Kluyveromyces lactis: one gene and its partners. The protein of the gene in region 3 binds, or shares a complex with, the protein of the main gene of each other region. Links are inferred from orthologs where the notes say so. Each region holds a gene or a part of one and is shown on either strand. Other genes may lie near its edges. The genes, in order: MRP10, RSM18 and NAM9.

Region 1 (1,847 bases), on a different chromosome or scaffold from region 3:
GTACACGTGACCGAACCGATTACGGCACCTTTTTACCCGTCTTGCTATATATAATATTAATTGAATCACAATTTGAATTGGTTGATCTCTCTCCTCCGTTACCCCAGGTTAGGAAGAGGTCCTAATTTGTATTACATATATCTAGTATACCCTCCTCTATACTATCCCTACCTGTCCAGTCAACAAACGACCACTGTCATCTAATAATGCTAAGAACTGTCTTCAACAAACCATCAGTGTTGAAATCTGGAGTTAACTCGATTACAAAGCAATGCCGTTCTCTTCACGCAAATGCTTACTTGTTGAACAAGGGCAACAGCAACGGTGCTGAGGGCCAAGATGACGATGTCACGGTGAGAATCAGAATCCCACCTATCAAGAGAACCGGCGAGTCTCTAGACAAGAAGCGTGCTAGATTAATTTATCAGTCCAGAAAGAGAGGTATTCTGGAAACAGACTTACTTTTGTCACGTTTTGCTGCTAAGTATTTAAAGGAAATGACCCCAGAACAACTAGAAGAGTACGACCAGTTGTTGAACGAACTAGATTGGGATATCTACTACTGGGCCACAGAAAACTATTCCATTACACCTCTTCCTGACAGATGGAAGAACTCCAATATTCTAAAACAATTGCAAGAGTTCAGTAAGAACAAGGATCGTGAAATCCTAAGCATGCCTGATCTTTCCAAATACTGAACATCAGCGGTATACGTACTTGCCAATTAAGCAACAGTATAGTCTATAGCTCTTATTTTATACCCATATGCTCTCTCTCCCTCTGTCGCGGCAGCTCATCATTTCCAGGGCAGGCCCAAGTGAAAAATTTAACCCGTACACCGCATACTTAGATCCAACATTGGCGAAAGTCTCAAAAATTTTGTTAAGATCATAAAGAATGATATCGTTTATATGATGGAAAATATCATAAATGTAGTCGCGTAGTCCGTTCTAGAGGTCTTGTAAGGTCGTGTTGCGAAGGGTACGTCCAAGATATCAAGTGTTCATATATTAAAGCATGTCCAGTAAGACTCCTCTTTATAAATTACCACCTCTTCCCAGACTTAAGGTGAAAAAGCCAATTATTCAACAAGAGGCTAACAGATGCTTGGTATTGATGTCCAATCTATTACAATGCTGGTCTTCTAACGGACACATGTACGGTGCATGTGAGACATTGGCCCAAGATTTGAAGGCATGTACCGCGGAAAATGCCTTAGGTAAGAACCAAAAAGTCCAGAAGAGTAATATCAACTATCATGCTGCTAGATTGTACGATAGAGTTGGTGGAAAATCTCATGATTAGAAAGAAGCAGACAGACTTTCTCCCCCTTCGTTATCACTTGTACATAATACCATTTTCTAATATTACATATATCATCTAAAATCAAGGAATTCACGATTTATTAAATATGATAGAGATTTTTGTAGCTATTTGTGAGTGGATTCATCTCAAACTTTTCTGGCGAGTCTGCCAGCTCTTTCCCACTCGTCTTTCGTTAGATACCATCCCGGATGGAACTCAGATGAATCATGCTGTTTGATGGTATTAAGGTCATTCTCGTTAATTTCGTTACAATGCATGTTAGAATCTCCTCTGTAATTGTTTTCAATTTCCCATTGGAAATCGCTATGTTCAGTCTCGGCCTTTGTCATGGAGCCTATAGGTTCTGGTATCCGTAGGTATGGATTTCTCAATGTGTTGTTTACACTGCCCAATGAAGTGAATCCCATCTCATATAATCCGCATACTTCTTCTCCCGAATACAATAGGAAACTCCATATCTGTGAGAGATTCCAATGTAGCAACGGTTGCAACCTGTAGAACTGGGGCCAACTGGGGTCCGT
Region 2 (2,527 bases), on a different chromosome or scaffold from region 3:
CCTTGATTTTAGTTCTCTATTTTTTTAATTAATTTCATCAAAATCAAATCGCGCCTCATTAATATTACATTAATGAGACGCGGAAGTATAATATGAGTATAAATAACTATAAATATAATCATTATTAGAATTGATACAATTAATAGAATTATTAACCCCCCCTCGCCATTCCTAGATCTAAAGAGACACAACTTGCTATTTGTAGAAAGAAAGCAGCTGCGCTGTTTGATAGATTTAAAGTTAGAGGTTGTCGATAATGATTAATAAGGATAAAATTGTTGATGGAGTTGTTTTTAAAGACGAAGATGATCCTGAAGAAACAGTTGTTTTTAATTTCCATACTTGGGTAGAAATGCTTAAAGCAATTATCGTTAAGTATGCAAATAAAAAAGAAGATGAGGCTGAATTAATGGTTTTATCGTCTTCATTAGTATGTAAGCCCATTGATAGTTATCTGGCAGTATGTCTTCGTAGCCATGAACTTGAGTATCATTGGGCAATGCTGATAGCTTACGGTGAACAGTTTTGGTTGAAAGGAGTAAGCTCTAAACAACCAGATGATTATTTAATATTGGACGAGAGTTATAGAAAAGACCACAATCTAGCTGAAGAAAGTTTTGTATTTAACGATTAATGGATTGAAAGCTGGAAAAGTAGTAATATTTTCCAGCTTTTTAATTTGTTGTTACGTTTATATGTTAACCTACTTAACCTGAATAACCACCAGAGCGGATAGAACACTGACTGATAATAGATGAATTGATGTTACATTGGAAATCACACCAATATTGATAAAATCCTCGAATTAGTTCAGAATCGCAGTTATTTACTGATTCATTATTCCCATCAGATCCAGCCAAGAATCAAGACCCTGCCGAAAAGCTGGGGTAAACGTTTGATTGTGGCCCACGGCTGGCTATGGGCGATTTCTACGTGCGGCAGCAGCGCGCCAGCGCGCCGCTGATCAAAGATCCATTACTGCTGCAGGTTACCGACAATGAAAGCCAGCTAGCCTCGATGCTGGCACACGAAATCTCACACGTGACCAAGCGCAACGCACCGCTGACCTGGGTAGGCACTCGGCTCCATTTTGCTGGCTATAACCAACCTGACTGCCGGCATAGCAGCGCTCAGCGGTACCGTCGCCGGTACCCAGCAAACGGATCATCAGTTTTGGCCAGGTCAAAGAATAGGAGGCCGATTGCATCGGCCTGTAGGTGCTGGAGCGCGCCGGGTTTGATCCACAGGGATGCCCGACTTCCTGCAAGAGCTTTCCGATCAATCGCGCTACACCTCCAAGGTTGATCTGCGTAAACTGGGTTGACAACAGGAAAAAGGTTGAATGCCTGGCAATGACTTAAGTATCCTTTATTTCAATCTCTTTTTTTTTGAAATTTAGAGATCTTTTCAACATGGAAAATTTTATTCAATAACATGAATATTAAGCAAGCAAGAGAAGGAAAACAACCAAGTCGCTCGGGCCTTTCTACGCCTGTTAACGAGAGATTGAATAAATTAAAACACATCAGAAGAAATGTTTTCCCGCAGCTGCGCAAGATTCTTTTCTACCACAAGATATGTCTGCAACAGTCTTGACCAAAAACTTCTGAAAGAAGGTATGTCGGAAGCTAATAGCAAGCCCACAATCAAGAAGCTAGAATCCAAGTTAATCAAAAACTTTCAGCCGGGCTCCGTTTACAATCCATTTGATTTCTCCTTAGAAAGAATACATTTAGATAAGAAGTTTGGGGTACGTCCTGGATCGTTTGACCCATTCAACAAATTGAAGATCAATCCACTTGATTTATACACCAACCCAGAGTTCTTGTCAAGATTTGTGACATCAACGGGTAAAATATTACACAGAGATGTAACTGGTTTATCGGCTAAGAACCAGCGTCGTCTAACAAAGGCTATTAAGAGATGCCAAGCAATAGGTTTGATGTCTAAGGTTCACAAAGACATATCGGTGCTTCCTCAAAGAACTGCAAACAGAAGCTAATCATGACATGTGATAACTTCTTGTATATATGAATATATGTTTCTCAATAAATAGGATTATATCTGTAAATAGCGCTAACAGTATAAACACGTTGCAATGGAAAGCTCCGGGACTGAATGATAGTACAGTGTTCTCATTTGTCGAATAGTCTATCCGATGGACCGTGCAATCGTATATAAACATCAGTACCCCATCCCCACAATGACTGAATGTCAAGTGTACCATTGAACAACTCTAGGTACGCTTTGCACATTGGAAGTCCGAATCCCATACCTGCAACGTTTTGGACTTCTTGACCAGGTAAAACATAATCGCTCATACCGCTGTCCTTCTCTTCCTTCACCGTTGTGGAAAAAGAATAATCAAAGACTCGGTCTTCTACCTGTGGATCTATACCGCCTCCGAAGTCTCTGATTCTGATCTCAAGTTGATCGTCGTTTTTCACTATTGTTACTTCCACATCTTTGTCAACGTTGTTTTCAATATGTGCTCTCGAGCTGTTCTTAAGCAATTCTTGAAGGACGT
Region 3 (3,253 bases):
ATCGACAGGTTCATCGACAGGTTCATTCGCCAGTTCGCTCACAGATTCTCCAACACTGACTGGCGGAGTGGTCGCCATTTCTTGTTTCGCCTGTACATTATTTTGCTCAGTATCCTTTTCATCGATATCCTTTTCTCGTTCCCGTGGCTCTTCTGACTCTTGTTCTACTTGCGTATCCTGTGATTCCGCACCCTTCAGTTTTGCCTTGTCATCCGCAGAAGCGGTCTCCTCTTGCTTAATATCTTCCACCTCATGATCCCTAGCATGTTCTAACATAAGTTCTCCATAATCTTCCCACGATAGTTCAAATTCCGTCTCTTGCTGGAGTCTATTTTGTAATGGTATTATATTTCTCTTAAGCTCGTCACAATTGTCAACATCATTGTCACTGTCATCATCATTATCTAGTTGAGCGTCCCCTTCTGTCTTTTTGTTTGTAGTTTCGGTTGGTCCGTCATCATTATAAAATTCAGGGTATGGCTGGTTCTCTACTTCATCTGCCTTCTCTAAATTATAGTACCGACTCAATTGTTCCCAAACGTCCTCCCCAGAAAACACTTTATCTGAGCTGCCTTTATCGCTTTGCAAAAGTTTGATTGGATACTGATCTGGCTTGTTCAATCGCTCAAGCAAACACACCATATGGAAGTGTTTATGTATTCCTGCAGGTTTGAACAGCATCATCCATTTAAACAGCCTTATTTCCTCCACTTTACTCCATGTTTGCCCTCTAGGTGATTCTATCTTTACAGCGGACATCGCAGTGAACCGTATCGTATTACTTTTATCTGAAGTATCACAACCTTATACACCAAAAGAACGTTCTTGCAATTGATATAATAAAGTTCCTATCAAGATCGCTGATAAAGCAGATCGTATGAGGCTTGATACCATCTTCGCCAGTCCATCTCAATATGGTTCTATGGTGTTTCTCATCTTTCTAAACTATGAATGCTAATATTTGATATCATATGTCACGAAATTCCTCTAAAAATTTTTCAATATCGGAAAGCTTCAAGCATTAGATAGCGTTTGATTGAAAAATATTATGCAGGTAGTTCGGATATGCAATGTATTTCCATTTCGAAGAGTCCGTAAGCAGTCAATTCTGGTTAGTTTTGTCAATACATTGTGAAGAAAAAGACCAGCAATGCCTAGGAAAGCTGTACTTCTGAACTCTTTGTCCAGAGGGAAGGTTCGTACCTCTTTTAACAAGTACAATTTGTTCAACTTGTATAAGAAATCTCAGGTCAGTTTTAGATCGAAAACACTATACCAACAGAAATGGACTTCTAAACAGGAAACTCGTGCCTACCATGGCGAACATTTAACAGAGAGTAGGTGGCAGTCTGTTTTCGAGCCTCAGCTAAACTCTGTGGCTCAATTAGATGCTTCTCTAAGGGGTGGTGATATCGAACCGACGCCCATTCTATTACAAACATACGCTGTACTAGAGAAAAGGCTAGACTTTGCTTTGTTTAGAGCTATGTTTGCCTCGTCAGTGAGACAAGCTCGTCAGTTTATTTTACATGGCAACGTCCATGTGAATGGTGTAAAGATTACTTCTCCGGGATATGCCTTGAAAGCTGGTGATGTTTTCAACGTCAGACCCGAAAAAGTGCTACAAGCTCTTGGTGCCAAGAAACCTAGCTTGAAGGAAGCTTTGAAAGTGGATAATACCCAAATTTTCCTATGGAACAAATATATTCTAGAGGCTAGAAAGAATCCTAGAAAGTTCTGGGATGAAAAGATCGAAAAACTAAGAACTATGGATAGTAACGATCCAAAGAAACAGGAATTTTTATCCTTCCTCGAAAACTACAACAAAACCATGCACATTCAAATGAGGAAAGAATTAGACCAAACCAGTAACGAGTATTTGTTAGCTAAGATCTTTTCTACCGTTAACCGCGTTAACGATGTAGAAAAATTGGCAGTAAAAGATTTCTTGGGCGAATTTTACAATAACGAAAATTTGGCAGCTAAAGGATTCGAAATTTATAGAGAAGTCAAGTCTGCCAAGGCTGTGGAAACGATAGCAGGGAAGCCTTTGGCTGAAATTCCTAATGAACAAGGTGAATTGCTAAAGGTGGCTACAGGAATAACTAAACCTGTTGATAACACAAACGATGCCTTAAAGAAAAAATTCAGAGCCATCAATCATACTATAGTTGATTTGAGACATTTCTATGAAACCGTGGTCAGAGAACATTATAATGACAAGATGGCATCCGTTGATTCTGTTGATATTCCATACGATGCTAAGTGGGCTGAAAAGTTACCATTGCATCAAAAGATCAATGTTCCTGAACTATTGGAAAACGAACCAGCTGCTCAAAAAGCTATCAATTTACCATGGCAAAAGGGTGTGTTTGGTCGTAACGATCCATCTAAACCATATTTCACTCCGTGGAAACCAAGACCCTTCTTAGCACCATTCGCCATTCTACCACACCATTTGGAAATATCATTCAAGACATGTCATGCGGTCTACTTAAGAGACCCTGTTGCACGTCCAGGTCAATCTGAAGTTATTACTCCATTCGGCTTACCTGTACATGAACGTTCATACATGTACTATGTGAGAAGGGGTAAATAAGTTGACGAAAACAAATACACACGAAAGAATGGATACACTGTGACTATGACAATTTAAAAAGAATGGTGTATCTTGGAAACCTTGTACATATTATTATCATTATTTTATCGTATCATATTATATTAATTATATATATATATTTATATGTTCTAATGAGTAAAGAATAAACTAACACCCAGTAACGAGAAGATATACTATTCAGATATTCAACCAGCATGTTCGTAAATCTTGGTTTGTAGTTTACCTTCGACGAAAGTGTGTATCATCTGTTCTGGAAGTGGAACTTCAACGAAGTCACCATCGGGACCAGTTGGAGTGTTGATGTTAATACCAGTGCTAGAAGAGGTGAAAATTTGAGCCTGTAAAGAGTTTTTACTCAAATAAATGGAGCCGCTATCAGACGCGTCGATGGTGATTTGTGGCAGGGTGTTTTCCACTTGAATACCAAATCTCAAACATTTAATAATATCCACACCACTGATGGAAGAATCTAGCACTAAACTGCATTTTTCTGTTTCATTGACAGTAACTGCGTTGACCTTACCTTTGATTTGTACCAATGTGTTGACACATTTACCGATGAAAACAGATTCGTCAATTTTAGTTTCGATCACTAACGGTTCGGCTTCATCTTCATAATTTTCAATAAACCAT

The links.
Region 1: NAM9 (region 3) and MRP10 share a complex: the UniProt entries of both Saccharomyces cerevisiae proteins name them as parts of the mitochondrial small ribosomal subunit. The link is inferred for Kluyveromyces lactis from reciprocal best matches to the Saccharomyces cerevisiae genes NAM9 and MRP10.
Region 2: NAM9 (region 3) and RSM18 share a complex: the UniProt entries of both Saccharomyces cerevisiae proteins name them as parts of the mitochondrial small ribosomal subunit. The link is inferred for Kluyveromyces lactis from reciprocal best matches to the Saccharomyces cerevisiae genes NAM9 and RSM18.

Annotation. Positions count from the first base shown.
Region 1 is NC_006041.1:1,178,433-1,180,279, forward strand, and holds MRP10 (mitochondrial 37S ribosomal protein mS37), read left to right. Parts: upstream 1-1,017; coding exon 1,018-1,305; downstream 1,306-1,847. Other genes in the region: succinate dehydrogenase assembly factor SDH5, read left to right, coding at 207-698; FAD1 (FMN adenylyltransferase), read right to left, coding at 1,452-1,847. UniProt on the Saccharomyces cerevisiae protein: Component of the mitochondrial ribosome (mitoribosome), a dedicated translation machinery responsible for the synthesis of mitochondrial genome-encoded proteins, including at least some of the essential transmembrane subunits of the mitochondrial respiratory chain.
Region 2 is NC_006041.1:409,289-411,815, reverse strand, and holds RSM18 (mitochondrial 37S ribosomal protein bS18m), read left to right. Parts: upstream 1-1,534; coding exon 1,535-2,002; downstream 2,003-2,527. Other genes in the region: KLLA0_E04599g (uncharacterized protein), read left to right, coding at 257-634; KLLA0_E04577g (uncharacterized protein), read left to right, coding at 919-1,305; protein kinase PKP1, read right to left, coding at 2,136-2,527. UniProt on the Saccharomyces cerevisiae protein: Component of the mitochondrial ribosome (mitoribosome), a dedicated translation machinery responsible for the synthesis of mitochondrial genome-encoded proteins, including at least some of the essential transmembrane subunits of the mitochondrial respiratory chain.
Region 3 is NC_006037.1:1,006,466-1,009,718, reverse strand, and holds NAM9 (mitochondrial 37S ribosomal protein uS4m), read left to right. Parts: upstream 1-1,150; coding exon 1,151-2,599; downstream 2,600-3,253. Other genes in the region: EAF7 (Eaf7p), read right to left, coding at 1-759; SRV2 (adenylate cyclase-binding protein), read right to left, coding at 2,806-3,253. UniProt on the Saccharomyces cerevisiae protein: Component of the mitochondrial ribosome (mitoribosome), a dedicated translation machinery responsible for the synthesis of mitochondrial genome-encoded proteins, including at least some of the essential transmembrane subunits of the mitochondrial respiratory chain.